Cricetulus griseus: one gene and its partner. The protein of the gene in region 1 interacts with the protein of each later gene in a biochemical or structural test. Links are inferred from orthologs where the notes say so. Each region holds a gene or a part of one and is shown on either strand. Other genes may lie near its edges. The genes, in order: Tnks2 and Lnpep.

What was found.
Region 2: the proteins of Tnks2 (region 1) and Lnpep form a complex in vitro, tested with the Homo sapiens proteins (4 studies listed by BioGRID and IntAct, with this or other methods). The link is inferred for Cricetulus griseus from reciprocal best matches to the Homo sapiens genes TNKS2 and LNPEP.

What each region holds. Positions count from the first base shown.
Region 1 is NC_048596.1:24,943,350-24,959,395, reverse strand, and holds the start of Tnks2 (poly [ADP-ribose] polymerase tankyrase-2), read left to right. Parts: upstream 1-8,804; 5' UTR 8,805-9,088; coding exon 9,089-9,287; intron 9,288-16,046. UniProt on the Homo sapiens protein: Poly-ADP-ribosyltransferase involved in various processes such as Wnt signaling pathway, telomere length and vesicle trafficking.
Region 2 is NC_048595.1:295,753,605-295,768,869, forward strand, and holds part of Lnpep (leucyl-cystinyl aminopeptidase), read right to left. Parts: intron 6,916-15,265; coding exon 6,075-6,915; intron 1,695-6,074; coding exon 1,556-1,694; intron 389-1,555; coding exon 257-388; intron 1-256. UniProt on the Homo sapiens protein: Release of an N-terminal amino acid, cleaves before cysteine, leucine as well as other amino acids. Degrades peptide hormones such as oxytocin, vasopressin and angiotensin III, and plays a role in maintaining homeostasis during pregnancy.

The DNA of each region.
Region 1 (16,046 bases):
ATAAATTCCCTTATATTTTTACCTGACTCCATATTGGTAATTTCCCACATTAAATGACAAATTGGGAAAAGATATTTCCCACAAATGTAGTTGATGAAGGATTAAGAGGATTAAGTTACCAAAATATATGAAGAATTCCTACAAACAAAAGGCAAACAATAAAAAATGGACAGGAGACAAATAGGCATTTTAGTAAAGGGTAACTATAAAGAGATTATAAATATAGGAAGAGATAGTGCTGGGATATGTGATATGAATAATAACATCACCTCCGAAATTCATATTGAAACTTAATCTTCAATGCAACAAAAATAAAATGAGGGGTTTGGGGAAAAACAATTAAGTCCTGAGGGCTCTTTTTTTTTCTTTCTTTCTTTTTTTTTTTTTTTTTTTTTTTTTTTGGTTTTTCGAGACAGGGTTTCTCTGTGTAGCTTTGGAGCCTAACCAGGCTGGCCTGAAACTCAACAGAGATCTGCCTGCCTCTGCCTTCCGAGTACTGGGATTAAAGGCGTGCGCCACCAACGCCCGGCTGTCCTGAGGGTTCTTTACTTTTCCCATTGCTACAACAAAATATTTGACAAGAAGCAAGTTAAGGAGATGTCCCAGAGCTCCCATCTTAGTTTAGGTTTCTATTGCTTCGATGAAACACCATGACCAAAAAGCAAGTTAGGGAGGAAAGGGTTTATTTGGCTTACGCTTCAGCGTTGCTGTTCATCACTGATTAAAGTCAGGACAGGAACTCAAACAGGACAGGTTCGCAGGCGCAGGAGACGATGCAGAGGCCATGGAGGGAAGCTGTTTACTGGCTTGCTTTCCATGGCTTGCTCAGCCCACCTTCTTATAGAACCAGGATCAGCAGTCCAGGGATGACACCCCCCCCCCCCCACCCCCGTCACTGGCTGGACCCTCCCCCATTGGTCACTTAAATGAGAAAATACCTTACAGCTGGATCTCAAGAAGGCATTTCCTCAGCTGAAGCTCCTTCCTCTGATGACTCTAGGTTGTGTCAGGTTGACACACAAAACCACCCAGTAGATCCCCCCCCCAAAAAAAACAATACAGCTATTGTCATTGTTCTTGGTTGCCCACCAGAACTTGATTGTAAGACCCTATTTGAGGGACCACACACTTTGGTTACAGGATATGGAGAAATCAAGTTGGTAATAACCAAGACACTTCCTTCTAGAGAGTGTTATGCCAGATGCTAGGGGAAAAATAACCCATCTGTGAACCCTGTGAGCCACAATAATTATGAGCATGGCAAGATATGCCCATGGGTATAATAGTGGCATAGTTGTTATGGGGGTAACCCAATTACTTTCTACTTAGATTTAAGGCCTACTTCACAGGAGGAAACACATTCCTGGGACTATAAGTCTGGCCAAGAACACATAGTTGAAGAGCTATGGGCCTCACAGGTAAATCTACTACTACTACTTTGCTAAGTGGACGCAGCATCACCTGCCCTTTAAATCTGGGTATCTATTGCCATAGCTTAGTGCAGTTCTCAGACCTCTCAGAAAAAAAAAAAAATTTCTTTTTGTAGTGGATGGTAATTAACTCAGAAACTTACAACTGTTCAAAGTGCAGAAAATTACAGTCTGTGGAGTGCTCAACTACAAATGAGACATCTCCATCATACATACTCCCTTCCCCCAGGCTCAGAGGGCATCGTGGAGGAGGGAGCAGAAAGATTTAAGAATGAGGTCAGGAAGAACCGGGGTGGATGTCTTCTGGACATGGCAGCACTGCTATGGCCTTTGTCGTGACCCGGCTTGTCTCAGCTTTAACCCACAACAGCCATGAGGTTCGGCCTGAGTGGGGGGGTGTGGACCTGGAAGCTCCCAGCAACCCAACGGCAATACAGATCAAACACAGGCATCTTGTCATCTTCAGAGAGCTCTCAGGTCCATGTTGTAGAACTAGAGTCATTTCTTTATTAGCCATCTTTTTTGGTGTTTCTTAACCATCCTGCCAACACCACGAGGGAACCATTCCTCTCTTTGTTCCCTCTCTGCTCTGGCTACTCGCCCCTAACTCCTAACCATCCATCCTCACAAGTTACTCACATACCTCTGATCTCCCTGCCCAGGTGCAGGCCTATTCAGATGCTTAGGTGCATAGATATGCAAATTAGGAGGCATATTACCCTGAGGCCATGGTAAACAAAAGTAGCCCTACTGGCATTAACAATACGCTCCATGTTTAGTGAGGCCAAAGGCTGGATCTCAAAATATTCCATAGCAGAAACACTTTGGTCCCCCACTAGCCTTGAATTCATAGCAGCTGCGGTTGCCTGCAGAACACCTGCACAAGAGAAGCCAGTGAACTGGAAGTCAGCAGTCACAATGGGAAGGGGAAAGGCTCACAAACCCTACCCTTACCTGAGATGCTATTGACAGTTGGTGCCTTCTGGAGAAGGAAGAGTTTTCTTTATAATTGTGGCCCTCCCATACGGGCGGTGGTGGTGCACACCTTTAATCCCAGGACTTGGGAGGCAGAGGCAGACAGATCTCTGTGAGTTTAAGACCAGCCTGATCTACAAGAGCTAGTTCCAGGACTATCTCCAAAGCTACACAGAGAAACCCTGTCTCAAAAAAACAAACAAACAAACAAACAAAAAATGTGGCTCTCCTGGTTAATTCAACCGTGCTCCAGTGGATGGCTTCACTGAGTGTGCAGGCAGTACAAACTGGAATGGTGGACTAGATTTTAAAAAAAGAAGACACAGCATTATACAGACTAAGAAAGCATCACATATATTTTAGGGATACACATACATACACACATACACACATAGACACACTCACACACACAAACAGTTAAAGAAAAAGAGGCCATGAACTTGAGAAAAACCAAGGGGGTACATAAAATGGTTTGGAGGGAGGAAAGGGAAAGGGTAAATGATGTAATTATATTATAATTTTTAAATATTTTAAAATTAAAGGTGTTGATGCATAACTTTATTTTCAGCACTCAGGAGACAGAGGCAGGTGGAACTCTGTGAGTTCAAGGCCAGCTTGGTCTATAGAGCAAATTCCAGGACAGCCAAGTCTACATAAGGAAATCCTGTCTCAAAAAAACAAACAAATAAACAAACATATATGTGTGTATGTATATTTGTGTATACTGTTTTATTTATATAGTTACAACTATATGTAAATATATATATATATATATAATAAGATATATTTTTAAAAAAACAAAGCAAAAGAGGGCACAAAGTTAAGCAAAAGAGGGCACAAAGTTGGAAGGAGTTGGGGTGGCTCTAGGAAGAGTTAGGATTGTGGAGTAAATATGATCAAAGTACAATGTATACATTTGTGAAACTCTCAAAACTTAATAAAAATACTGTAAATTTTAAAAAGAAATAGTTTTAACAGAGGAAGGGATTGTTTTGCTTACAGTTTGTGAGATGTGGTCCATTGAGGTGGGGAAGGCATGATAACTGTCACTAGAGGCAGCCGGTCACACTGCACCCACAGTCAGGAAGCAGAGAAAAGACCAGAAAGTAGGGCCACTGTATAAACTCAAAGCCACACCCTCAGTTGTTGGTTTCTTTCTTTCTTCCTTTTTTCTCTTTGGCTCTTTGCTCTTTTGGGGGCCTATCACCCAGCTCCCAAATAAATCACACACGGAGGCTTATTCTTAGTTATGAGGGCCCACCCTAATCTTGGTTTGTTTTTTGCCAGCATTTCTTAATTTATCCCATCTACGGATGGGGAATGCACTGTGTATGTTCATCTTATTGATTATTGAATAAAATACTGTGAGCCAATGAGACGGCAAGTATGACGGGACTAGGAGTCAAAGAGGATTCTGGGAAATGTAGTAGAGAAGTGGTGATCCAGGCAGGAAGTGACATAGCAAGGAGACTCATATTTAAGCAAGGAGAAACAGAAAATGTCCCTTTTCCCCTCTACTCTTCCTCCAGCGGTGCAATGTGATCCACCGGCAAGAGAGGGTGCCAAATGAAGGCATCCTCTATAAGATAAGTCTTATAAAATATATAGATTTATGATAATTAAGACTGAGCTAACAGATGAGGAATCCTAGTCATTGGCCAAGCAGCATTTGAACCTAATACAAGTTCTGTATATTAATTTGGGCCCTAACTCGGGTGGGCAGTTGGCGTAAAGTGCACACGTGGCGGCGGGGCTCGGTGGCTTTTGGCGGAAAGATTTATCGTAACAGTATATCTTTTGCCTCTGGACTTTTTCTTTCCTTCCTTCTATATAGCTTGCTTTCACTCTTACTCCACGGCTGACTGGGAGGGTGAATGGCCCCTGACATCCTCCTCTCCTTGGCCTTGCTGTTCCTTCCTCCTACTCCTCCATGATTTCTCCTCCTATTTATTCTCTCTGCCTATCAGCCCTGCCTATCCTTTCTTCTGCCTTGCTATTGGACATTCATCTCTTTATTAGACCACCAGGTGTTTTAGACAGGCAAAGAATCACAGCATCACAGAGTTAAGCAAATGCAGCATAAACAAAAGCAACACGCCCTAAAATAATTTTCCACAACACTCAGTGACCCACTTCCTTCTGTGAGAGCTCATCTCCTAAATGTTCTACCATCAACCCTATCTGCTAGCAGGAGACTAAATGTCCAAATCCATGACCCTATGGGGGACATTTCACATTCAAATAACATTCTGTCCCTGGTACCTATAGCCTTATGGCCATTTCATGGTTCAAAATGCATTCATTCCTACCTAAAAAGTCCCTACAGGGGACTTTAAGAGTCCTAACACTGTTCAAAATTTCTAAGTCCAATCTCTTCTGAGATTCAGTGCAATTTCCTAACTATGGGCCCCTATAACATTAAAAAAATAAGTTACAAAGTTCCAATACACAGTGACATAGAATAAACATCCTGTTCTAAAATGGAGAAATGGGACATAACAAGGAAAAGTTAGGGACAAAACAAGAATAAAACCCAGCAGGGTGAACACCAACTTCTGTAGCTCTACATCCTACATCGTGGGTTTGTGATAGAATCGCCCGAGTTCTAAAGGGCTGGGTGGCTTCTCCCCTCCAGCTCTGCCATCCGCAGCCTCTCTCTCAGAAAACTCCACTCTGTGTCCACAGCTTTCCTCAACAGGTGACCTGTGATTTGGGCATCTGGATCATCCTGGTATCTCTGTTGTAGCCTCAACTTGTCCCTTGTCTGGCTGAGGAGTCTTGAGCTACAGACTCGAAAGAAGTAACATGGGAAGTCCATAGATGAGGTAAACAGACCTCGGGGCAGCACACAGATTAATAGAAATGGGTTAATTTAAGTTGTAAGAGCTGCCTGGAGACAAGCTTAAGCCATTGGCTGAGAATTTATAATCAATAATAATTCTCTGTGTGGTTATTTGGGGGTGACTGTGGGGACACAGAAAAACTCCACCTACGTGTGCATGTAGTGGGGAGAAAATTGTATTTAAACCATCTGTTTTGTGGTATTTTGCTAAGGCTGCTCTCTGAAGGAAAGAAGTAAAACTATTTCTTGTCTTTGTTAGCTGCTTTATCTTACTTAACATTATATTCTCGATAACCACCTATGTTGGGACACCCAATAAGATTCCCTTTTTTTTTTTTTTTTTCTGGAGGCTGAGAGTTAAAGCACGATATGCATTTATCACATTTCATAGTCATCCCCTCGTGGAACAACTGGACTGCATGCGCCTCTTTGCTGTTGTGAGTAATCAATCATATGGTGAATATGATTGTGGAAATATTTGAGGTCCTGATTTCAGATTGTTTCACCATATACACCCAGAAGTACATCAGATGCTAGTTTTATGTGTATTTTTTTGTTAACATTAAATTGGCTGAATTTTCCTCTCCCTCCTCTCCTCCCATTCTCCCCGCCCCCTCTGTTTCTACTCCCCAGTCCATTCTCCCTCCATTTCTGTTCAGGAAATGGTAGGTCTCCCATGAGACAAAACCAAGCATGGCTTATCAAGTCACAGTAAGACTAAGAACCTCCCCATGTATTAAGACTGGGCAAGGTGACCCCATATGAGGAGTAGGGTCCCCCAAACCAGTAAAGGAGCCTGAGACAGTCGCTGTTCCCACGGTTAGGAGTCCCACAAGAGGACTACACTACACAACTGTAACATATATGCACAGTCCCATGCAGGCTCCCTGGTTGTCAGTTCAGTCTCTGTGAGCCCAGGCTATTTGATTCTGTGAGTTTTCTTGACCCTCTGGCTCCTACAATCCTTTCTCTCCCTCTTCTGCAGGATTCCCCAAACTCTGCCTAATGTTTGGCTGTGGGTCTGCATCTGTTTCCATCAGTTGCCAGATGAAGCCTCTCTGATAACATTTGGGCTAGGCACCAATCTGGTCCCAGGAGATGACCAGTTCAGGCTACATATATGTCTGTTATCGCTAGGAGTCTTAACTAGTGTCCTCCTTGGAGATTCCTGGAGATTCCCTTGTGCCAGGTTTTTACCTGACCCCGAAATACCCCTTTCAGTACTCTCCCTCTCTGCCATTCCCCCCTCATACACATACACACACACACACACACACACACACACACACACACACACACCCTGATGACTTACGTTCCCATCCTTGCCCACCCTCAATCCACTCATGAAATCTCTATTTCCCTTTACAGGGAAATCCGGGCACCCCCCCCCACACACACACACAATGAACCCTCCTTGTTAACTAGTCTCTCTGGGTCTGTGGATTGTAGCATTACTTTAAAGCTAATATCCACTTATGAGTGAGGACATACCATGTTTATCTTTCTCCGTCTGGTTACCTCTCTCAGGATGATTATTTCTAATTCTATCCATTTGTCTGCAAATTTCCTGGTGTTATGGCTGGGTCTTGTGGTAGATTGAGTCCCAGTTTTCTGAGACACCGCCACACTGACTTCTAAAGTGGCTTAACCAATTCATTTTATGTTTTGGTATTTTTGTCTGCACCATATGTATGCCTGGTGCTTGGGGAGGCCAGAAAAGGGCAACAGATCCTGAGACTAGAGCTATGGTTATGGAAACTGAACCCAAGTCCTAGGGAGAACAGATAGTGCTCTTAACCACCGAGTTGTCCCCTCTCCAGTCCTGATATGTTAAGTTTTGTGAGGAGCTGCCAGATTGTTTTCTAAAATGAGTGGACAGTTTATGATCCCATCAAGAATGAAAAATGATTCTAATTTGTACTATTATATCAACATTTGTTAATTTTTGTTTGCATTAAAATAGCCATCCTAATGTGCTTTTCAACTGCATTTCTCTAGAAATCATATGATGCTTTTTTAAAAATGTTAGGCGTAGGAGATACATCATTTATGATTTATTAAAGCTTGCCTGAGGATTCAGAAAGCAAAGCCAGCCTCAAGCTATAGAGATCAGGTATGGCGATGCACACCTTTAATCCCAGCAGTGAAGTCCGAAGCAGTCTGAAGAACGATCCTTTGGTCTGAGCTGAGGTAGAGGTAAGAAGAGCTGGTGGTGGGCTGCTTTGCTTTTCTGATGTTCGGCTTGAAGCTTGACCCCAGTATCAGTCTCTGGGTCTTTTATTTATCATCCGTAGATAAAGTGTTTGCTGTGCCAGCATGATGTTGCTTAAGATATACTGGGAGGATATAGATAAGCAGAAATTATTAAATAAAAAAATAATTGGGAATATATTTGGCAAGTAGATGAAATGAAGAAAAATTCGACACAATCATTAGTATGTGTTCTAATCCTTTGGTATGTTCATGAATGTTTATTTTTATTAAGATGCATCAATTTAAATGTACACTAAATACCCTAAGAACATGATTCTAGAATAAACACATACAACAATGCTCCCATTTACTAAAACGCTCAAAAAAGAGTACCCTGCTTTTCTCCCACAGCGGTGAGTCAACACTCCCAAACAAAAACTGGATTTCCTGAAAAACAGGTTAAGTCAATTCACAGGGGGAAACGCTTGTCAGCATGACAAAGGTCAGCACTTTCAGCACAAGCAAAATCTCTATCAACCTTTCTTTCGGGTTTCTGAAACAAAGTCATACACAAAGATGTCACTATTACCTTAAACACAAAAATGAATTGTGCGCTTGTACTCTTTGATCACAGGGAGAGAAAAAAAAAAAGAACTTCAGGAAACTTTCTTGATGTGCACGCTTAGTGTACCGGCACCTTGGCCACATCCGGTAACAATCCTGATTTATATATAGGTTCTCTAGTCAGCACTGGGCTAATAATTTACTATGGGAAATGTAGCTAATCAGAGCCACCCCACCCCGCAATTGTTGCTTTAGAATTCGTCGCCTTCTTGATTTAGGGCCGTTCATCCCAAGTTCTCCGTAAGAGCAACGAGTCCGTTTCTGAGAAGAGGCTTGTAAGAAAAACAAAATCCGATGCCGAGGGTTAAGCGGAGAGACACTGTAAAGAACATGGGAGAGGGAGGAGGTGGGAGCAGGAATCTCCCATGGGAAGGCATGGAAGCAAAACTACAGACATTTTCCACGCTAAGGCTTCCAAAAGAAAACGCATGGGCAGCAGGAACAAAACTTGCGAAGGTTCATCTCCAGGATATGAGCAATGAAACTCATCTCGGGAGGGCTGTGCTTTGAGAAACAGAAGAGCGAGCGAGCGAGCCCTCCGGTCCTCGGCAGAGGCCCCGTAAAGATGGCGGTGGGCCGAAGCCCCTTCTCTTCCCTCCACCGAAGGCTCCCGAGAGCCGCACATTTCCCACAAACCCCTCCGCGCGGCCCCGCTCGCCCAGGCCGGCCCGGCCGGAGCGCGGCCACTGCGCACGCGCGCGCTGACGTCACGCGCGCTCCCGGGGACCCGCCGGAGCTGGCAGAAGCGGTCTCGGCTGCTTCCGCCGCCGCGTCGCTCCGGGCTCGGCGGGCGGGTTTCGCGCTGCCTCCGCCGCGGTGGGGCGGCCGGGGGTCACGGAGTCGAGCGGGGGGCGCGCGGCGGCGCGGCCATGGGACTGCGCCGGCTCTGGTGACAGCGGGGAGCCAAGCGGCCCGGGCCCTGAGCGCGTCTCCTGCGGGGGGCCTCGCCCTCCTGCTCGCGGGGCCGGGGCTCCTGCTGCCTTTGCTGGCGCTGCTGCTGGCGGCGGCGGCGGCGGCCCGGATCATGTCTGGTCGCCGCTGCGCCGGCGGGGGCGCGGCCTGCGCGAATGCGGTGGCCGAGGCCGTAGAGCCGTCTGCCCGCGAGCTGTTCGAGGCTTGCCGCAACGGGGACGTGGAGCGAGTGAAGAGGCTGGTGACGCCCGAGAAGGTGAACAGCCGCGACACGGCCGGCAGGAAGTCCACCCCGCTCCACTTCGCCGCAGGTAAGCGGCGGCCCCGCGTCGCCTCCCTCCCGCACGCCCCACCTGCAGGCTCGGGCTTGCAGGCCGCGAGCCGCGCGGCACTGCCCCGGCTCCGACCTTTCCCCGGGACTCTCACCACGGCCATCTCGCGCTCTTGTCTTGGGGCTCGTGATGAGGGGTGGGGTGAGCGTGCTCTGGGGAAGTTGTTTTTGTGGCATGGGTTTTTGTTTTTTTTGTTTTTTTGTTTTTTTTTGGTGTGGTTTGTTGAAGGTGGAGGAGGGGGGTGCTTTGTTTTGTTTTACTGTATCAACAATACCTGCACCGACTTCCGGTCTTGCTACCCTGTAGGGCCTCTGCACACAAGGCTTAGTAGACCTTGTGAATTGAAAGAGCGATTATCTCAACAATTCACCCTTCTTTGCAAGTTTCACCGTAACGCTTACCAATCCCTTTAGTTCTAGCGGCCTTCTTAAACTGTGAAAATGTAATTCAGGAGTTGTTTTATTGGCTATTGACTCATTAGAGTTAATTGGTTTAGGTTTCTGGAGAGACTAAAACCGGAAATAGGCAGGTTTGGGAGCCCTGAGATCTACTTAGGCTGAGTGTGGGTGGCCTCTGCCACACACAAACACACATATACACTCACAAGTTGGGGTGGAAAGTAAGTGAGAGACAAGCCGGAACAAGCACTTGAGCTTGGATCTAGGATTTTGAGACTCATTTTGAGTCATCCCGAGATTTATTTTAGATAGTTTGAAATTAGTTTTAACTACTGGGTTCTCTTTATGATACCAGGGTGCTTAAGTTTGTTGAGGTATTTAAAATAGCCAGCGTATTGACTAAACCTTTTATGCTTCTCATGTTAAGGACAGATGGTAACTCTTTAACCTTTTGAACCTTGGGTAATCGAAAAAGTCCTCACGGCTTGGTAACATTTGCTTATAGTGTGCGTCAAGATTGTTTAGCGGTTCTTTTTAAAAAAAGAAACATTTTAAAGTACTCTTGTTCCTCTAGGGCAGGAATGATGGACAGAAGAGCATGAAAAAGACTTTCTTGTTCTCAGACATTGCTTTTACAGTTACACCAATTGTAGTCTGTTTGCTTTGACCTGCCCCCATTTTAAAATGTACGTGCTGTCATGAATCATGTTTCCTTACTCGAGTGTCCTTTGGGGGCCTTTCTAAGAGGGAAAGGTTTGGGAAAACCACAGTTGGGCAAACTGGAAAAGCCTGTGGACACTGGGAAAACATGCACCGAAGCCAAATCTCTCGTTAGCAGTGTTGCCTTTCTTTGGCTAATTTGAATTGTCCTGCTTGACCATTTAGCCAACCTATTTGGCAAATGGTCACAACCAACTGCTACATAATCCAAAGGGGTAATGTTACTTAGATTATGTTCACTTGATAAAAATAGCCAAGGACGATCTTAGTTGCCACCTTTCAAGAATTTGATGTATTAGTGAGTTCATGTCTGAAAATAGTAGGATTTAGAGATGTGGGTTTATGGTGTGACCTTGTTGCTCCTATGCCATCCCACCCTCAGTTCTTCCCCAACATACCACTCCTCCACTCCAAGGGTGGAATCTAAAGCCTTGGATATGCTAGACAAGTGTTCTACCACTGAATAGGGTAGAGTGTACCCAGTGCCTGTCCCAAAATTTCAAAGCATATTTACATGTATTTTATATTGTTTGTCCAGATTGAAATGGAAATTGAAATAGCATAGGGACCGACTTACAATTTGTAATTCACCTATATAGACAGTATTAGGGTTGTGAAATTAAGATATAAAATGCAAATCATAAAGTAATTAATTACTAAGGAGGCTAAGGAGTTGGCTCAGTGGAATAAAGTGCTTGCCTTGAAAACATGAGGATTTGAATTCAGATTGACAGCACCCACATTTAAAAAAAAGTTGTGTTGATGCATGCCTATAATCTCAGCTCCTGAGGGTGGAAAAAGAAGGATCCTTGGGGTTTACTAGCCAGCCCTTACAGTCAGTGAGCCCCAGGGTCAATGCAAGACCCTGTCTTAAAAAGTAAGATGGAGAGCCGTAGACCTGGCTCCTGCACACACATGTGTATATGGCATACACACAGAATAATAAAAATAATTAATAAAGAATTCATATTCAACTAGTTTCAAAAGTCCTTCATTTAGACACTAGAAAATAAGGAGTCTTTTGAGAGATGACTTTGTAAATTGTTTTTGTTTTTCAAGACAGGGTTTCTCTGTGTAACCCTGTCTTGTACCCTGGCTGTCCTGGAACTCATTTTGTAGGCCAGTCTGGCCTCGAACTCACAGAGATCCACACACCTCTGCCTCCCTAGTGCTGGGATTAAAGGTGTGTGCTGCTCCCACCACCACCACCACCACCCAGCTGGCTTTGTACATTTTAAAAATCCAAATTATTAGATTAATGAGGCACTGATTAATTCTGTTTTCCTTTGCTGGGTATTGAGCCCAGTACCTTGACCCTACTAGACATATTTGCTAACTCTGAGCTACATTCTCAGCCCTATTTATTTTTAAGTATAGCCACCCACATTATCTTTGTGGGTAGTGAGTTACCACTTGTGTTTATGTAAGTGTACTATTGGATGCTTGGTCTGCTGTCTGTAGGTGGTGGTACTTGGTAATTGCCTGACCAAGCAGTTACTTGTGATTATATTTTACAGGATTGGAGAAATAACCTCATTTTAAAAAAAAATAAAGTAGTCAATTAAGGTCTGGAGGTTTAATTGAGCAGGAAAGGCATGCTTTGTCAGTAGGAATGAGAGGTATGAATGCTACGGAAAATGAAAAATGCTTTTGTCTTTCCACACATGCCCCTCAAAACAACAACAACAAAAAAAACCCTTAGTTTAATTAGTCAGTTGTCAGCCCTTATGGGAATTAAGTTCTGTTTGTGATTAAGATAAATATATAGAATTTTTTCTTCTGTTAGCTGCTTTTCATGTTGAACTAAGTTGCATACTTATAAATACAATTTTTAAGAAGTCATGTCTAAAAAAAACAACAGAAAACAATTTCCTTTTCTATTCTTTCTCTGCCCCCATCTAAATAGATACAGGGCATGAATTCCTTTTCTTTTTTCTTTTTCTTTTTTTCTTTTTCTTTTTTTGGTGACCACAGAGTGTATACAAACAAGTTGGTTTGGACTCTAAAAGTATGAAATTTTTGGCATTGAAATCCCATCTGATCAACAACACTATACTTTGAACTTTTGTTCTAGAAAATGGGGGATGGAGACATTGGGAGAAAGTCATTTTGGTGCTCATCATGGTAGACAAAATTCAGTGTTCCTTGCCATGGAGTAGAACTCCATAGTTGTGAATCTGAAATATTTTTTTAGGATTTATTTTTATTTTATGTATATAGTTGTTTTGCCTGCATGTATGTGCACCATGTGCATTCAGTACCTTTGGAAGCCAGAAGAGGGCATCAGATTCCCCTGGAACTGGAGTTACAGATGGTTCTGAGTTGCGGTATAGTCACTGGGAATTGAACCCAGGTCCTCTGGAAGAGCAGCCGGTGCTCTTAATTACTGAGTCATCTTTCCAGCTCCCTTTTTTTTTTTTTTTTTGTAAAAGGAGAATATTTTTTATTGTCTAAGTATTTTGCACATGCATACAGTACGTGTTTTTTTGGTGTGCATTGGTGTTTTGCCTGAGTGTATGTCTGTGTAAGGGTGTCAGATCTTGGAGTTAGAGAGAGTTGTTAGCTGCCATGTGGGTGCTAGGAATTGAACCCTGGTTCTGTAGAAGAACAGTTAGTGCTTTTAACCACTGAGCCATCTCCAAGCCCCCTGAGAGTATGCAGAAAAGTGTCAGTCAGTATAGGGAAATGTAAAATGGCTGAGGTTTAAGAAATCTAGGCATGGGCAGGAGAGATGGCCCAGCAGTTACCAGCACTGACTTCTCTTCCAGAGGACCTTGGTTCAATGCTCAGCACTCATATGGCAGCTCACAATTGTCTGTAACTCCAAAATCTGACACAAACATATATGCAGGCAAAATACCAATGCAAATAAAATAAAAATGTGAACTGCTTAGAGAGGGATATTTTTTTCCTATAAGAAGAAAGTGGAATAAGAGCATCTATAGTTTATCATACAGGCAATAGAAAAAAACTGGATTTCTAAAGATGAAAGAAGACTGGACCATGTTCACATGTGCAAGACTCTTAATCCCAGCACTCCAGAGGCTGATGCAGGTGGATCTCTGAGAGTAGAAGCCACCCTGGTCTATAGAGCAAGTTGAAGGACAGCCAGGACTTAAGTAGAGAAACCCCATCTCAAAAAAAGACAAAACAAAATCTCAAAAATCCTTAAATGCCATTTCTATTTTTTTACAGATTTATTTATTATGTATACATTGTTCCTCCTCATGTATTCCTGCACACCAAAAGAGGGCACCAGATCTCATTACAGATGGTTGTGAGCCACCATGTGAGTTCTGGGAATTGATCTCAGGACCTCTGGAAGAGCAACCAATGCTCTTAACCTCTAAGCCATCTCTCCAGCCCCGTTTTATTTTATTTTGAGACAGATTTTTTTTTTCTTTGTAGCCTTGGCGGCCCTGGAATTCACTCTGTAGACCAGGCTGGCCTTGAACTCAGAGATCTCTCCTGCCTCTGCCTTCTGAGTGCTGGGATTAAAAGCATGCTCCACTGCTGCCTGGCACCATTTCTTTAAAAAGAAAATATTCATTAACATGTATATGTGTGTGAGATTGTATATGTGCATGTACCTGAGGTTAAGGCCATCCCCTGGAGCTGGAGTTACAAGCAATTATAAGCTACTTGATATGGGTGCTGGGAATTGAACTTGGGTCCTCTACAAGAAAAATAAATGTTCTTAACCACTGAACCATCACTCCAAACCCTTTAATACCATTTCTAACATAATTATGAGTGATGCACAGAACATATACACTCTTTGCCTGTTACTACAATTGTGCCTCACTATTTCCAGGAAGGAGTTTTTAATCAGTAGTTAAATCTTACAATAGAAACTACAATACTGATTAATTATTAGTCTGCTCAACAGTTCAGTCTTATAATGTAAGATCTTAGCTCCTGGACCTAGCGTGGAGAGCTGGCTTCAGTAACTTCTACTTTGGAGCACTCCTCCAGATCCTCCCTTATTCAGATTGTCAGGGTTTTATCTTCTCACAGTCCATGATATACTTTTCTACATTTCTTCTAGTCTGGCTGGATAGTATACCAGCTCCAAGTCAAGGTGGACAAAGCCCTCTTCCTTATTTTAAAGAAATTTAAGATGGAGGTTGGCATTGGCTCTTAGGATATATCTTCTTATGTCTACCTTGCCAGTGAGGACAGATAGAAATGTAGCTGTAAAACATTCCCCTCCCCCAAGAAATTGCTACTTATCAGAAGTGCTTTGTGCCATTCTTGAGAACCTAAGAATGAGGATTTCATCAGAGATGAAATGAGAATTTGGAAAACATCTTTTTATTGTTGTTTGTTTTCATTTTTGAGGCTAGATCACATGTTGGCTTTTATTCAACTCATGATCCCTCTGCCTTTGCCTCTGAAATGCTGAGGTCATGCCCGACTGTGATGCATCTTATATGCATATGTTTTCCCAGCAGTGGGAAGTTTATTGAAAATACCTCTGAGACTCTAAATGATATCCTTTAGTGCAGTGGTTCTCAACCTGTGAGTTGTGTTTGGGGATCAGACAACCATTTCACAGGGGTTGCATATCAGATATATGAAATGTGTGTGTGTGTGTGTGTGTGTGTGTGTGTGTGTGTGTGTGTGTGTGTGTGTGTGTATCCCCTGTATTATACATTACAGCTCATAACAGTAGCAAAATTACAGTTATGGGTAGCAATGAAAAGAATTTTATGGCTAGGAGTCACCACAGCATGAAGAACTGTATTAAAGGGTCACAACATTAGGAAGGTTGAGAACCACTGCTTTAGTGTTAGGATGTGGCTTCAAATGTTCAAAATTTCAGGCTCTTGATCTTGAGCAGTATAGCAAATTCCACTTACATGTATTATAGTTGTTCCGTGTGTCTTTAAAAGCATGCAGATCTCTACTCTCAGTCTCCAAACTGATTTTAGACATTTTGATAGCTAGGGAATCATGTTGGTAGAAAATCATTGGCATAGAAGACATCAGTGTCCTGGAATATGGTAGCTGTGTGGATCTACACAATCCACTCATTCTACCTGTATTTCCTCAGGTAAAACTGTAGTCAGTGCCCCTTTAATTCTGGCTTCAAGCAGCCCTTTTTCTCAGTGGTATTTTGCCAGATACTTAACAACTTGACCTTCAGCTAGTCACTAGCACTTTGGAACAGATATCTTCCCACTTGATACTATTTCTTGTAACATTAACAACTATACATCCTACTTTAGCTTTTGCTATACTCACCAAGTTCTTTTAATGAGAAGTAGCCTTCTTTATGCTACTGTCTTTATTAATGATTGTTACCAGTGAAGAAATAGGGATCCTTCTAAAGGTGGCTATATTAAATGACTTTGCAGTGAAGAGAGATACCCTCATTCTTACTCTCCAATTTAGGAAGATTTTCTAAAAGCATTTCCTCCAGATGAGTACTGAATGGATGGGAGGGGCAATAGTAGAAGACAATATCCATAAAGCCGAGGTGGTGGTAGCAGAGTCAGACCTAAAAGCAGTAAATTTACTGTCTCCTTGAAATTTTCCTTCTTGGCTTCTCAGTACCATTCTTAGTTTTCATTCTTAGCTTCCTTTCTCATGCCATGGTATATTAATTAAGCAAACA
Region 2 (15,265 bases), on another chromosome or scaffold:
TGGAGAGAAGGACAGATGGTCACTCCTCCACCACTTCTTTAATCATGTTTTCACCCAGTATCTGACTCCCAAGTCTTTATTGGTAATAGAGCAACTCAGATAAACCTAACAGTTAAGTAAGAGTAGCATTTCTGTTACAGAATGTCAGAATCTGATCTAAAGGCTTGTCTTCCTAAGGAAACTACCAAGAAACATTGAAAGAATTCTTCCTAGGTTGCTATAAGCAGATTTTCAGACAATTAGAATACCAACATACCAGGGTTCCATTTACATCCTGACTCAGGTTCCTCATCTCCCCTACAATGAAAGCAACCAGGTACGTGCTCATTTTCACACTTTCAAAAAACTCATCCTTAATAAGTCCTTCTTCTGCAGGGACTGATGACTTCTATAACCAAAGGAAAAAAGATGACAGTTCTGTAATTAAGGCAATCAATGGCAAATATACTGAAAAACTAAAAAAATCATGTAGGCAGTTAAGTGGATATTTTAGTCTTTCAACACAAACTTCGAGAGAGCAAAGCCCCTTGTTTCAGTTTCTTCTACCACCCTTCATCAAGAGGAAACACTGAGTACAATGAGAACCCTAACATGGCTCTCAATAAATTTAAGTTACAGGGAACAGTGGTTTTTAAAAATGTAGCAAAACTCAAACCCTTCCAACCACCCCAGAACCTTATGATAACTGACTTCAAGAAGGAACTGTAGCTAAGATATCCTTTAACGTTATCTAGTGCTCCATAGAGAACCCCCAGGAAAACATAGTGGAATCAAATGTGCTAGGTCACTAGAGAAGTCTGAAACAGACTGAAAGTGGAGAAATGCCAGCAACTCTCATGATTTTCCAACCATGAATCAGATTATGCTTTGGGTTATTAGACAAGTAGGTGCCCACCTCTTTAAGAGTTTGGCTATGAGTAGGATTGTGACAATGCAAGAACATGCTGTCTACTGTCTAGGGGGCAGATTGCATTACCTGCTGACTCTGGCTATTCCTCACCCTAGCTACACAAGTTCTGGGAAGCATCACATAGACCTCACCTTGCTGTTCAGGTATACGCAAAGGGAACCCTAAGTTCTTTTTAGCATAAAACTCCTCTGCTTGTTGTTACCCCTAATACCTACCCCACAATTAATACTCAAGAAAAAGGCTCCTGTTTTTGTTGTTCATTTCCTCATGACAACAATCCAAAGTTTCATTTGCCAAAACACCAAGAATAATCACAATTCCACACTCTCAACACTGCTTAGAAGAGCAACTTCGTTATGTCTCAAGTAATTTACTGGGCTTGCACTAGTTCACAGTGTTAGTATTTGTGCAACTGTAGAGCAAGAAGACACTTCACACCTCCTGCCCATGCATTCTAATACCTGGGGGGGTCCTTTCTTTCCTCGAGTGATCCTCAGACTGACAAATCTTCATTTTTACTTAACTATCTCAGAAATATAGACACATATAAACCTAAGTATTCCTACCAATAGTACAGTAAAGAGAAACCCAACTGTTCTCAGAGACAAGCGATCCATCCAAAGATTTTACTTCATGTCACAGTACCTTAGGCATATTTGATAATGCAATGTGATGCTCATTCCTTGTAATCTTGATGATAAATGTGGCCTTAAATGCTGGTTCATCAAAACAGGGAAAAGCAGATCTTGCTGCCAGAGGTTCAAACTGAGTTGCTGCAAAGTACCTAAAAACAAATGTAAATTCAATACAATAGTTATTGAGTGTCTACTAGACAGGGCACCATGCCAAGTACTGGGGGTGTGAAGACAAACACATTACAATTACAAAGTTTAAAGGACCCCAATTAACTAAGAGAGACAGAAGTCAAGAGTGTACACCATCTTCTAGCAGGGTTTAAATCATATCCTAACAGTGGAAGCACATGAGTAGGATCAAATAGCATTAAACAAATTTTGCTGGAGTTAAAGACACTGTAGAGAAACTAGTACAAAGTCTGAATTGGTCCTTGGACACCAAGAATACTTGATAAAGTACAGAAGGGGAACAAAACACTTGAGAAAGAAGACAGCATAAGGGAAGGAGGCAGTATGTGTCTATAAAAGGGGGCAGCTGCTAAGTGTGATGGTATTCAAAAAGTAGCTCCATAAAAAGTTTTCGACATAAAGTCCGTAGAAAGGATTGCCATTAATTGCTACTAAACACCTGGGTTTACAACACTGCATTTCAACATTCACTTTCACAAAAATAGAAAAGTTGTTCTTTAACAGTACTCTGCATTCCTTTTACTTTTCAGAGATAAACAGAAAGGATGATCTCCTTTCCACACCACAACAGCAGCAGACAAGGCTATACTACATACAAAGAAACTGAATTACAGGTCATATAAAAAGCACAAAAAAAGAAGCAAGGAAGATTTTTAATCAAGGAAGAAAGTGGATCTCTATGTGGAAGACTACACAAACGGAGTATCAGGCAAAAGCACTTTCTTGGACTTGCTAATATACCAGCCACAGGCACTCTAGTCATGACACCCTCTGTTCCTCAATTCTTAGACTCCACTTTTAGAAGATAGGCAGAAAACAGAAAATTGGATTTGGAGTTTACATTGATTAGACATATGATTCTGGATTCTGTAAAGTCTGTAACCTATATATATATAATTATGATTGAGACAGAATCCCCTGCACGAAGCCCAGAGTTTTGTTAGAATCCAGTAAAACTTTACAATAAAACAAAACATTTATATACTAAATAGGTGGTTCTATATAGATGCTTATTACTAATACTAAGAAACTACAAATCTTTCCCACAATTAAAATCATTATTATTATTATTATTATTATTATTATTATTATTATTATTATTATTGTTTTTCAAAACAGGATTTCTCTGTGTATCCATGGCTGTACTGAAACTCACTCTGTAGACCAGGCTGGCCTCAAACTCACAAAGATCCACCTGCCTCAGCCTCCCAAGTGCTGGGATTAAAAGCATGTGCCACTACTGGCCAGCTGAGACAGGATCTTAAATAGCCCAAATTTACCTCATATTCATTATGTGCGCACACACACACACACACAGACCCTTCTCTGATCCTCCAGCCTCTACCTCCCAAGTGCTGGGACTACAAGTGCATTCCTTCATGACTGATTATATATCCTAACATTCTAAGAAAAACTAAAACAAAACAAACAAAAACAACCTTAAATTATTGTTAAAGTAATATAACTATTTCACACAAACATCTCTGAGAATGCTGCTTTGAAGATACAATGTCTTCTCTATTCAGAATACTTCATGCATATTCTTTCTTTGTGACTATGTTTGCTTTCAGAAAAACTTGTTACAGATTTTCCTCAAGTCTATTTGAAGACAGGAATTACCTGGAAGTCAAATAAGAGAATCCTAAGCAATGGCAAAAACAACCTGCAAAGGCAAAGTGTGAACTGGAGAAGCAGTTCAATACAGTGGTTATGAAACAGGTTTGAGTTCCCTCTCTGCCAGACTATTTCTTACGTACCTTTTTCCTTGGCTATTATAAATACATTATCATTTCTTAGTGAGTTTGACAAGGTAGAAGACTAAAGAAACATAAAATGCTCTAAGCAGTGTCTAGTGTTTTAGTTCCCAATAAGTACTGGCTACTGTTATGCTTAGTTTTAGGAATACAGAGCTCAACATGATAGGGGAGTAAGAGCTGTGAGGAAAAACAAAGGTCAGACAATGAACACCTTCAAATTATTAGAAATAAGAACTGCAAAAGGACCGTACACCAAAGGCCAGCATGACCTTCCTACTAATGGAAACAAGTGCAGAGATAAGAATAGGCATAGATTACATTTATAATAGTGTGGAAAGTAGGTAAAGTTTCCTGATCACAAGCAGGATCTATTCAAAGCATCAGACATTATGATTTTCTAGGCAACAAGAGCGTTGGTGGTATAATGGTGAGAAAAGGTGCCTTCCAAGCAACAAGAAATGCATCCCCCTAATCATTTTATCAGTTTAAATATTTATTCTAATTATAGTGGGGGTTAGTATAAAAGTATCCAGTAAAATAAAGTAAAATTGTGAGACACACACCCACACAAAATTTAATATTAGTAGTTTTCAGATATTGTGAAAGTCAGAGTGATTTAAACTTTTATCCTCTATCAAGATACACAATCATGTGGGGCCTTCACTGTAATTAACAAGCAGATAAATAAGCTTATATTCTGTTTGTTCCAATATTTCAGCTTAAAATACTATTTTGAATTCTCTACTTCTTAGTTTTAAGGGCCTACATTTTTCTAGCATGCACCACAAGTGAACCAAGAATTTACACATGCTTATCCTAAAAAAATCACTGGTTCCTACTACACAGCATTCATTCTTCCCATAAAAACCAATAGTTTCAAAGATTCCAGGTTTCCAATCTAATTGGATGAGATAGCTCTGGGGCTTAGAGTTCTGTTTGCAATATTAAGTCACTGTGTTATAGTGTGCATGGTGTGTCTGTCTACATGTCTATCTCTCTATATATGTGGATCTTTCTACATTAAAAATGTACAATGCAAACCAGGGTGCAAAATACTGTAGTTCCTACAAAGATAACAAAGATTACAAACCAATAACTAACGCTAAACATTCCAAGGCTGCCACTACAATCACAAATTTGTGTTCAATTTAGATAATCATTCAACAACTGAAATATAAAGGCAGCATGCTATTTGTTTTAAAAGCATATATAAAAGAAAAAGTTTATCTGACATTCTTATTAAGTAGAGGTTACTAAAATATAACCATGTTTCAAATTCAAACTATCAGTATAAAACCCTCAAATATATGTGAGAAGCAGATGGACAATTTGATGTGAAAAGAAAATTGTAGCAGCTTTTGATGATTCTTAATTCCCAACAGAGAGCTGCAGCCTTGTCTCAAATTTTCATCCAGTACTTGAGTGTTTTCTGATGACTGAGAAAAAAAATGTTTTTTTTTTTTTTCTACTGTTCGGAAAAAAGCTAAGAGAGAAACATCCATTCTATAGCAAATTCAATGTCTTGGGTAGAAAAAATAAAGAACTAACGTGTTCTTTTTATTTTCAATTAGTAAAATTACTCTTTTAAAAAAAATGTATTTTCTTCTTTGAAATCCATATAGAAAACCACAGTTGTCAAAAAAAAAATCTATAACCAAACCAAATGTTGGGTCCATCAAACAAGAAATAAAATGTATGATTGAAATTACATATATTTAAAAAATTATTTACTTTCAATGAACTGAAAATTAAAAAAGACTCTGAAACATTGAACAAAACAACAACAATATATTAATATATATTAGCCAACTGGCCAGTGTAAATAATTCCTTAACTGGTCTACAGAGTATTATGAGTATATTATGTAAGAATGCTCTACTAACATAAAGCACATATAAATGGCCTTTGTGCACAGAGATGAAATTATCATTACTTATGATTATAATGGAATCATTATAATATACACTATCTTTCATGAAACCCATCTATGATATGGCTAATAAAATTAAACAACAAAGTATGATCCAAATAGGCTGTAGAATACTCTTACACTGTATATCACTTTTTTTTCTTTTTTGAGATGTGATTCTTTCTTACACTTTTAAAGAGTACACAGTCAACCTGGTATTTTAAAAAGTAAACCAGTAAAGATTAAGAACATTAAGATGATGTGTGTTTATATGCCACCTCTCATACCCTCTTTCTCCAACTCATAAAGTGACTCCTAAAACTTCTGCCTGCCATCGGGGTAGCCTGGACCACTCACTCTGCCTCCTACAGCCTCAGGGAAGGGTAGCACTATTCATCACATAAAACATGAAAAGCTCAAGAAAAGTTTGTTAGTTTGTAATAGAGAATATAATCTTCCTTCATTCCCTTCCACCATACACTTCTACTCTCTTCCATCACAATACTCACTCGAAGTTCTGCCTAAGAGAATTGTATATTCTTGCATTTTACCATTCTAACTTGAACATAGCTTCCTAAATTAAAAAAAAAATATGGTGTGGGCAAAAGAACCTGCACTGTGGAAGTCACATGCAGAAGAGCACAGAATAAGAACCATTTAGGAGGTTTACATACTTTTTCTCATTACTTTTATCTGTGTAGGTGATGCCATAAAATCCATAATAAGAGTTAGATATATTTGCAGAATACTCTATCTTCAAGGTATAGTTGTGCCCTGCTAGAAGGGCTTCAGGGGCAACAATGGCAATTTGTTCGTGATATGGATATTCCAGGACTTCAACTTGTTTTTCTTGACTAGAAACTGCTGACATAAATGTCACTCTTGAAATATTATGTCCTGTGCTATGGAGAATGATATTCCATGTGGCTTGAAGAGCCTGAAGTGAAATTGTCACAGAACCCTTGAATGTCATTGAGGTTAGGTTTGGATGTAGGCTAAGTTCATAGCGCTGAGGCATAATGGCAGTGGGAAGCCTAATTTGTGCCCATGGAAACAATTTCCCATTTGTGGCAACTGGCTGAATTAGTCCCGTTGACTGGTTTTTTTTGTGGCAGCCTTCTTTGGTAAAGGTACATCTAGGCAGTAGATAAATCACCATGATTACAGAGACAGCAACCACGATGACAAAAACACAGACCACTAAGGTTCTGGCAGAGGGTACTGAACAAGAGCCGTCTGGACTCTGCCTGTAGCCCACTGCACTGTTTCGAAGTCCTGAGCTTCTGTTCATAAAGGACATGCCCAGCAGCTTTGCAGATGACTCATAATCCTCTTCATCCTCATCCATCTCATGCTCACCAAGACCTCGAACCAGTAGCCTTGAACCTCGGGGCTCATATTCCACTTCATCAGGTTCCAGTGGATGTAAACAAGGTTCTTTGGCTAAATCTACCACATCTGGTTCTTCTTCAAACATGCTGTTTTCAATCATATTCCTTGGAAGCTGAAGTCGATCTACAAATATAAGACACAAAGATAAGACAGGAGTGGGGGAGAGTTCACAATGCAATGTTTCTTGGAAAGACCAAATTTAATGTTTTTTTTTTTTAATCACTAAGACTTATTTCCACCTTAAAGCTATTAGAATTAAATAGAGGCTTTATGGAATTCTTGAGTTGTTCATTAAAAATCAAGAATATATATAAAAGCATACTATAGTCATGAACCCCCAAAACAAAAACACTAGTAAATGGGCTAATATTAATGAAAGATAGTATAAAGCTAATTGTTTTTCTGTCACAGATTTTTTTCATTGTTAGTGGTCACTAAGTGAATAAAAATATATCTGATAGTGAAAAAGAGTGGCTATTGTATCTGTATAGAAGCTTACTGAAATGTACACGGATTTTAGGCCTGGGTAATTTTGGTGTGTGATATTTATTTCATTTGAATTTGTTTTCTGTTAATAATGAAAGTAAAGAAATTTTTTTAAGCAGATGTGATTTTATAGTACTTTCTTTAAAATGGTACCACCCAATCAATACCCTGGGTTCCAGGCTTGACTTTAGAGTATGTCACTCTGGCCATCTCTGCCCATGTATGTCCCTAAACAGCTAGGATTGAGTGGGGCCAAAAGGATTGTAGTCAATGCCTTTCTTCTGGGTCTGGACACTTGAAGCCTGGAATTCTTGGCCAAATACTGCAAACCAGGTTGTAAGGCCTGTGTGGGTCTTCTTCCTGAGTCCCACTCTATCCTGGGCAAATTAAAGATGGGTCTACCTGCTTCTAGGCTTAAGAGACAGCTCATCAAGAGAATGGGCTATTGTTTCCCTCAGGAGAAGGATGTTTTTGTACGACAGTACACTGAAAGAGGAAAATTACTTATAAAATTTTGACAAGCAAGAAACAGTAACACGGACAAAAAAACTTACAAAACAGATCAAACTGTAGTTCAAAACCTGCCTTTTCGCCCTTGTGTACCTTTCACCAGTACAATGTTTCCCATCCTTAAAAACAGAATGAACGAGCACCATGAGTGTCAGCATATCTTGAGTCAGGAAGTGGTGGGAGCTCTTCTGAGCTACACTCCTCCCATTTGCCAAATGTCACTGAGGAGAAAGGTCTCAAGAAGCAAAGGGGTAAATAATACTATGTATCTATCAATGACTTAGAATTGGGACAGTCAATATTTTGTATTAAAAAAATCACATCTTGTAAGGGATTTTAAGAGTTTAACAAATTGAATCATCTTTAACTTGTTCTCACAAGGCACTTTACAATTAACATTTCTAATCTGCACAGCAGTTCTATAAAGTGGCAAAAATTAAGTCATGGGCTGGAGAGATGGCTCAGAGGTTAAGAGAACTGGATGCTCTTCCAGAGGTCCTGAGTTCAATTCCCAGAGACCACATGGTGGCTCACAACCATCTATAATGGGATATAATGCCCTCTTCTGTTGTGGAGGCAGAATGTTGTATACTTAATAAAAAAAATAAATAAAATCTTAAAAAAATTAAGTCATGAAAAAACAAACAGAAATGGACTGACAATTTCAAAGCCAGAGAGATATTTACTGGTAAAATTTATATTTGAGCCCAGATTCTTAAAAAAAATGTTTTCAAATTTGAATCTCATTAGTGTACTACATCTTCTGACCCATGTTAATTTAATGAAAGGGAAGCACTTTTAACAATTTGGTATCTGGCAATGAAATTATTAAAATATTATTCATCATCAGTAGAATAAGACTGACATTAGCTACTTAATACCCAGAAAAACATAGTGGGTATATATATTTAAATTAACATATCAAAATCCCTGCAAAAGCCTAATTTAAACAAATTTTCTTGAGCAGACACAAGGCCTGCTATATTCAAATAAGGCTGTAATAGTTAATAAGCATTGCTCTGCTCAATGACATACAAAATGTGATCCATAAGAAAACAAAAGTCAGCTGCTGCACTTAACTTTAGAACAGCTGCTGTAAATATGTCCCAAAGAATAAGGAAAATGGCTTTAAAAAGTAAAACAGAGGACTATGTCAATAGATAAAACTTTCACCAGAAAAACTGCAACTAAATAAAAGGGACCAGAGGCTGGGGAGATCACTCAATGGGAAAGAATACTTGCTGCCAAATCATGAAGACCTGGGTTTAAGTCTCCAATACTCAAGAAAAAAAAAAGTGGGCATGTAACCCCAACACTGGACAGAGAAGACATGCTGAAATCAGGAGCTTGCTGGCCTGTCAGCCTAGCAAAAACTGTGATCAGGGTGCAAAGCATCAATGCCTGGAAGCTCTGCAAAGAAACCTAAGGGATCAAGGGTAGAGGCAAGAAACATCTACAGCAAGCAAACTGCAGACCTTAACAGCAAACTGCAATCCTTAACAGAAACAAACAAAAGAGAAAAAAATGAAAAAGTCATTTCCTGTAGAAAAGGAACAAAGTTTTCACCTGGACAAACAAAGTGAAGAACTTCCATCAGCAGATCCATATACTAGATAAAAATTTAGTCCATTAGCTAACATAGCAACTATGTATATTTCAATCTACAAGTAAAATGTTAAAGGAAGATTTTTCTCTATGGCTTACATTTTTCATTAGCTTTTAGAAATCTCTCTTTAACATGATCTCAACACAACAAACCCAGCTTGGTAAAATTATACCTACTGATGAGCTTGTACCAAGATCCTTAAATTCATGCCTCATGAATACATACCAAGGTCTTACAAAATTTTCACCAAGTAAGTCCACAAGAGAAAAGTATCAATTACACAGGGATATATGTTGGAGAATGTTTACACACACACACACACACACACACACACACACAGAGAGAGAGAGAGAGAGAGAGAGAGAGAGAGAGAGAGAGAGAGAGACAGACAGACAGACACACACACACACACAGACACAGAGAGAGAGACAGAGGTGTACATAATTTTTTTAAAGCCTGCAAGATGCCTACTGTGTAATAATGTTTGCTGAACAAACCTGATGACCTGCTTGATTCCCAGAGCCCATGGGATTCAATGGGTACAGAATGGGTACAATGGCACATCCAAGGCAAATGGGAGGCAGAGACAGAAGAAGCTGGTGGGTCAGACAGCCTGGACTGCACAGCCCAACAGAAATAACACAAAACTCTGACTCAGTGCTTCAACAAGGTGGGAAGAGATAACTGACTCCTCAAAGCTGCCCTCTGAACTCCACACTTGTGCTTCGGTACATGGACAGCTGCATTCACACACACATATACTACGAAATACTCACACTTTCATACAAACAAAATAGTAATAAGTTAACTTAAAAAAAAAAAAGTGTTTAGGGGCTGGTGAGATAACTCAGGAGTAAAAGGCTCTTGCAGCCAAGCCTATGACCTGAGTTTGAACCTTGTGTCTCATCACAGGGTGGAAGTACTGAACCAAACCAACATGCAAAAGATGTTCTCTGGCCTCCACATGCAACCTCTGCTCAACACACACACACACACACACACACACACACACACACACACACACACACACAATAAATGTAATAAATAATTTCACTGAATGTTTATAGCAGTATTTTCATGAAGGAAGGAAGGAAGGAAGGAAGGAAGGAAGGAAGGAAGGAAGGAAATGACAAAAGACTACTCATCCTTTTTAGTCCTATATCTGGGGCTGGGTACTTAAAAAAAGAAAGAAAAAAGATTACTTGGCTCATAGTTTTAGATCTTGCTGAATCCAGAAAGCATGCAGCTCTGATTAGCCTCCCTTGAGTGTATCACCTCATGCTGGATGGCACCACAATGACAAAAACAAAGAGGAAGACAGGAAGACAGCCAGAGCAAGGGGGTGTTAGGCTCACTTGTTCTGTAACAACCCCCTCAGCAGTGCTAACTCAGAATTCCTGGAAAAGTACATTATTCCCTTCCAAGGACAGTGCCGTCAATCACCTAAAGGCCTTCCACAGTTCTACCTCTTAAAAGTTCCATCACCTCCCAACAGCACACTGAGAAACAAGTTCCCAGGAATCTGTGAACCTTTGGTGGACAAACCATAGAACAAAGCTAATTGTTTAACAGCAGTAGATGGGTTTTACCTTAAATATAGAAACATATTCAAAAATACAGTTTAAAGGAAGACAAACAGGTTACAGAATTTTAAATAAACATGTATCCAGTAGGATACAATGCAAATTAAAAAAAAAAACATTAACAGTGGTTATTCCTGAAAGATAGAGCTTGGGTATGCTGGATATTTTTATTACCCAATTTTTATTTTATAAGTAAATGGAAAAAACTTTCACACATATACACACAATGTTTTAAGCATGCTAACATAGAAAGCTCATGAATTAATGAAAAAGCAATATTGTTGGCTTAGAGAGAAATCAGGAAACCTATATACCAGGATAGTACTTGCTGTTTCTCTTTTATGGGATCTCTTATTAGGAAGTGGAATTTCATCTTTACTATTTAAATTTTTATAGTCCTTGTAACTTGGTTTAATAAATGAAATGAAGCAGAAAGACTTTGGCAGAATTTTTAATGCTGGGCCTTGGGAAGCTATGTAAACTTTACTATTCATTACTACTTTTACAGTTCTATGAGAAGGAATTCAAGCTAGCTAGCTTCCTTGTGGGTGGGGGAACCACATTAAAAAACATCCGGCCAACAGCCAGCAGCCACTGCCAGATTCACCACGTGTGAACCTGTCTTAGAAGCATCTAGGCTCAAGTCAAGGTGACAGCCAATGACTTCAGCTTAAGAGTGACTTCAGACAAGAAGAGCAGAAGAAACACTCACCTAAAAACCCAATCCAAAGTGTTGAGCTAAAGAATCATTGCCAAGTAAAATGGTTGTCTTAAACCATAAATTTTAGAAATTCTACATCATAACATATGATCTCCTTATCCCTTATATATTTCACATAGAAAGCTCGTGAATTAATGAGCTTCATTTCAGTATTATCATCATTATTCATCAATATTTCAGTGATCTTATCCTCTGAGGAATTCGAGCTCTACACTGAGCTACATGTCCCTGAAATAAGAACAAATTTTCCCTGAAGACAAACATAAAGCACACTGCACACACTAGTTTACAGTTCCATGTCACATCTGAGATGGCAATGTATGCTGGGCCCCAGACTCAACTCAGAAACAGGAAACAGAACATTTGTCATTAGAACAATTCCACACAAAAACTCCTGTATACACATGTAGGTTTTTCATCCTAAGCCTAAGGAAGGGGTTTGATGGGTATGATTTCATTTATCAACAAAACAATCTTACCACCCTACAAAGGATGGTGAGCAGCAACATTTACCAAAGGTTCTCTCACACAATAACACTGGATTGAGCAACAGATATAACAGAAGGCTAGCTAAAAACCAGTCATTCTGCCACTGTGTATGTAACTCTATCATTGTGGTATATTTTTTATAATATATTAAAATCAATGGGAAGAAATATCCCACTCACTAAGTCACATAAGACATAAAGCATTCAGAACACAACCTATCACATTAACAAGTACTTAATAATTAGTCTCATGTATTAATGACCAAACTTTTATATGACATCTCACTTCTCAGTCATAAATATTCGAAAATGTTTCTTTATGTTGTTCACTAAGTTTACCATCTTACCAAGCAGAGGCAATAAGACGGACTTTCTCTCTCTCTCTCATTAAAATTAAGAAATTAGAACTGGACGTGGTGGCACACACTCTAACCCCAGCACTTGGAAGGCAGAGGCAGGTGGATCTCTGAGTTTGAGGCCAGCCTGATCTACAGAACAGCTGGGGCTATGGAGAGAAATCCTATCACAACAACAAATAAACATCTAGTGTCTCCTGTACCGAAACTTCAAGTTTGCTGTTAGAAAACTAAGTGCTATTATAAGAAAGCAAACATTGGGATCTTAAATAAGCCTTTAAAGAGAACCCAAGAAATCTCATGCATTAAACAATTAAATTTGTTGAAGGGTATTTACTAAAAATGATAGGAACAAACATTTTTATAAATAATTATTTTTAATTTTGAGATTATAATTACATTATTCTCCCTTTTCCACTCTTCCCTCTAAAACTTCCCTATTCTCTTAAATCCACAGCCTTCTTCTTTTCATCGTTGACTTACATATACATATTATACATACATACATACATACATACATACACATACCCTTAAATATATAAATACAACCTGCTCAGTCAGTAAACTTTAAATTCTCTACAGGAAGATGAAAGTGAAACAATTCAGTCCACACAGGCTTAGCATAGTGATTGTGAAACCAACCACTTTCTCAGAGTCACAGGAAATGGTTAAGCAATCTTGGAGCAGTCTTTTGTTTTTGTAGCACAAATATTTTTTCAAACTAATTATTTTCATATAATAAGATATCTTAGAATTATCCAAGTATTCACAAGTGGAAGCAAGTCCACTATGATATTACAAGTTACTGTTGTTTGAGATATTCTTATTCCTCTTTTTTAATTTATTTGAATTCATTATTTCAAATAGCAATGGAAACTCATGTTTTAATACTTTTATGCTAAAATAAATTCTTAAAATCTAATCAGAAAGGTTAAAATCACAGTAAGAGTCAAACTTACAGGTAAAAACTAAGCAACAAAGTTCAATACCTATCTTAGACAAAACAAACTAGACACGGGTGGTTTCATATCTTTTAGAGAACGCTCATCTTATCATAGTTGATATTTTTGAGAAAACTCTGTTGTTTCTTTTTCTCCTGTACTACTTGTTGATTTCCGGTACGGTAAAATAAGTATCAGAGTGAGATACTGTGTTCTAATGTTTTCTAAGTGATAAAGCTCCACAAAATTCTTGTGTCTTTAGAAAATCTTTTAATTACATATTACTATTTTCCATTTCTTTTTCTTTCTTTCATATGTCTCTTTCCAATTAACAACTCAAAGTTTATCGCAAATCATTCTGCACTGAGTTTGCTGTTTAGTTTTCTTTAAGCAGGATTTCACTCTTGGCTCGGGCTGGCTTTAAACTCACTATGTATTCCATGGCAGGCATCAATTAGTAGTGATACTCTTTGCTTTGACCTTGGCAAAGATTATTAGTGCTGAGAACACCAGTATGAGCTACATGCCTAGCACCGTTTTGTTTGTTTGGTTGGTTTTTTTAAGTTTAGGGTTTTTTTTTTTTTTGAGCACTAAATTACTGTAGCTGTATTTTTCAGGGGATTTTTAATTTGGTTATGATTTAGGGTGTCAGGTAACAAGCACTTATATTTAAAATATTTAATTGATAGTTTATGCAATCTCATACTTATAGTACTATTTAAAATAGATTGAATTAAAATATATTGAAGTATACATGTATTACTATTTATGGCCATTAGAGTCATTTATAAGACTTGTGATTTTAAAGCCAGGCGTTGGTGGCGCATGCCTTTAATCCCAGCACTCGGGAGGCAGAGGCAGGAGGATCTCTGTGAGTTCAAGACCAGCCTGGTCTACAAGAGCTAGTTCCAGGACAGTCTCCAAAGCCACAGAGAAACCCTGCCTCGAAAAACCAAAAACCAAAAACCAAAAAAAAAAAAAAAGACTTGTGATTTTAAATACAGAGGAAATTCCTGTCACCAGCTCAAATAAAAAAAAAATCCAAATAAATAAATAAATAAATAAATGACTATACATTATCAAAAGTTAAAATGAAGATTTCAACAAATTATTAAATTAGGTGACTACCATTACTGTGTGGCTATTTGGGCGAAATGACCAAGAATCAAAGACTGGTATCACATAAGCCAAGTCACAATAATCCCAATAATCATCTCTCTCCTCAATTCTGTACATAGAATACCTCAACAAAACACAGAGAAAGTAAAATTAATTGTCTAATAATCATGAAGAAAACCAGAATCAATCCTGCAAAAACAATAATCAAATCAGTCCTTGAAAGTGGATGTGTGAGACAGAGATCAGAGTAAAATAATATAAAAAGAGCATGGCTTGCCTTCTGCACCTTTGAAGATGAACAGGGGAGCAGGAGCAAAGAAATAAATGTAAGTGACCTTTAAAAGCTGGGAGACTGAAGGCCCTAGCTCCTACCCAGAGCCCACAGAGAGCATTACTACACTGGCAATGTCTGGGTAAGACATGCTGTGGATCTGACCTACAGAATTGTAGACGAGTAAGTTTATATTTTATTCTCTGATCAGTGATCACTGTTATGGTGGCAATGGAAAATGAATAAACTGCTGTACACAGCATATCCACATTTGAAGCTGGTTAGCTCCCTTTTGTAGTCCAGGACAGTAGGTAGGAGCACACCCAAAGTCAAGTAATATTTCCAGTCATACATGCTCAGCATAGCTATTAGGTAATTCAGCTAGCTTACAC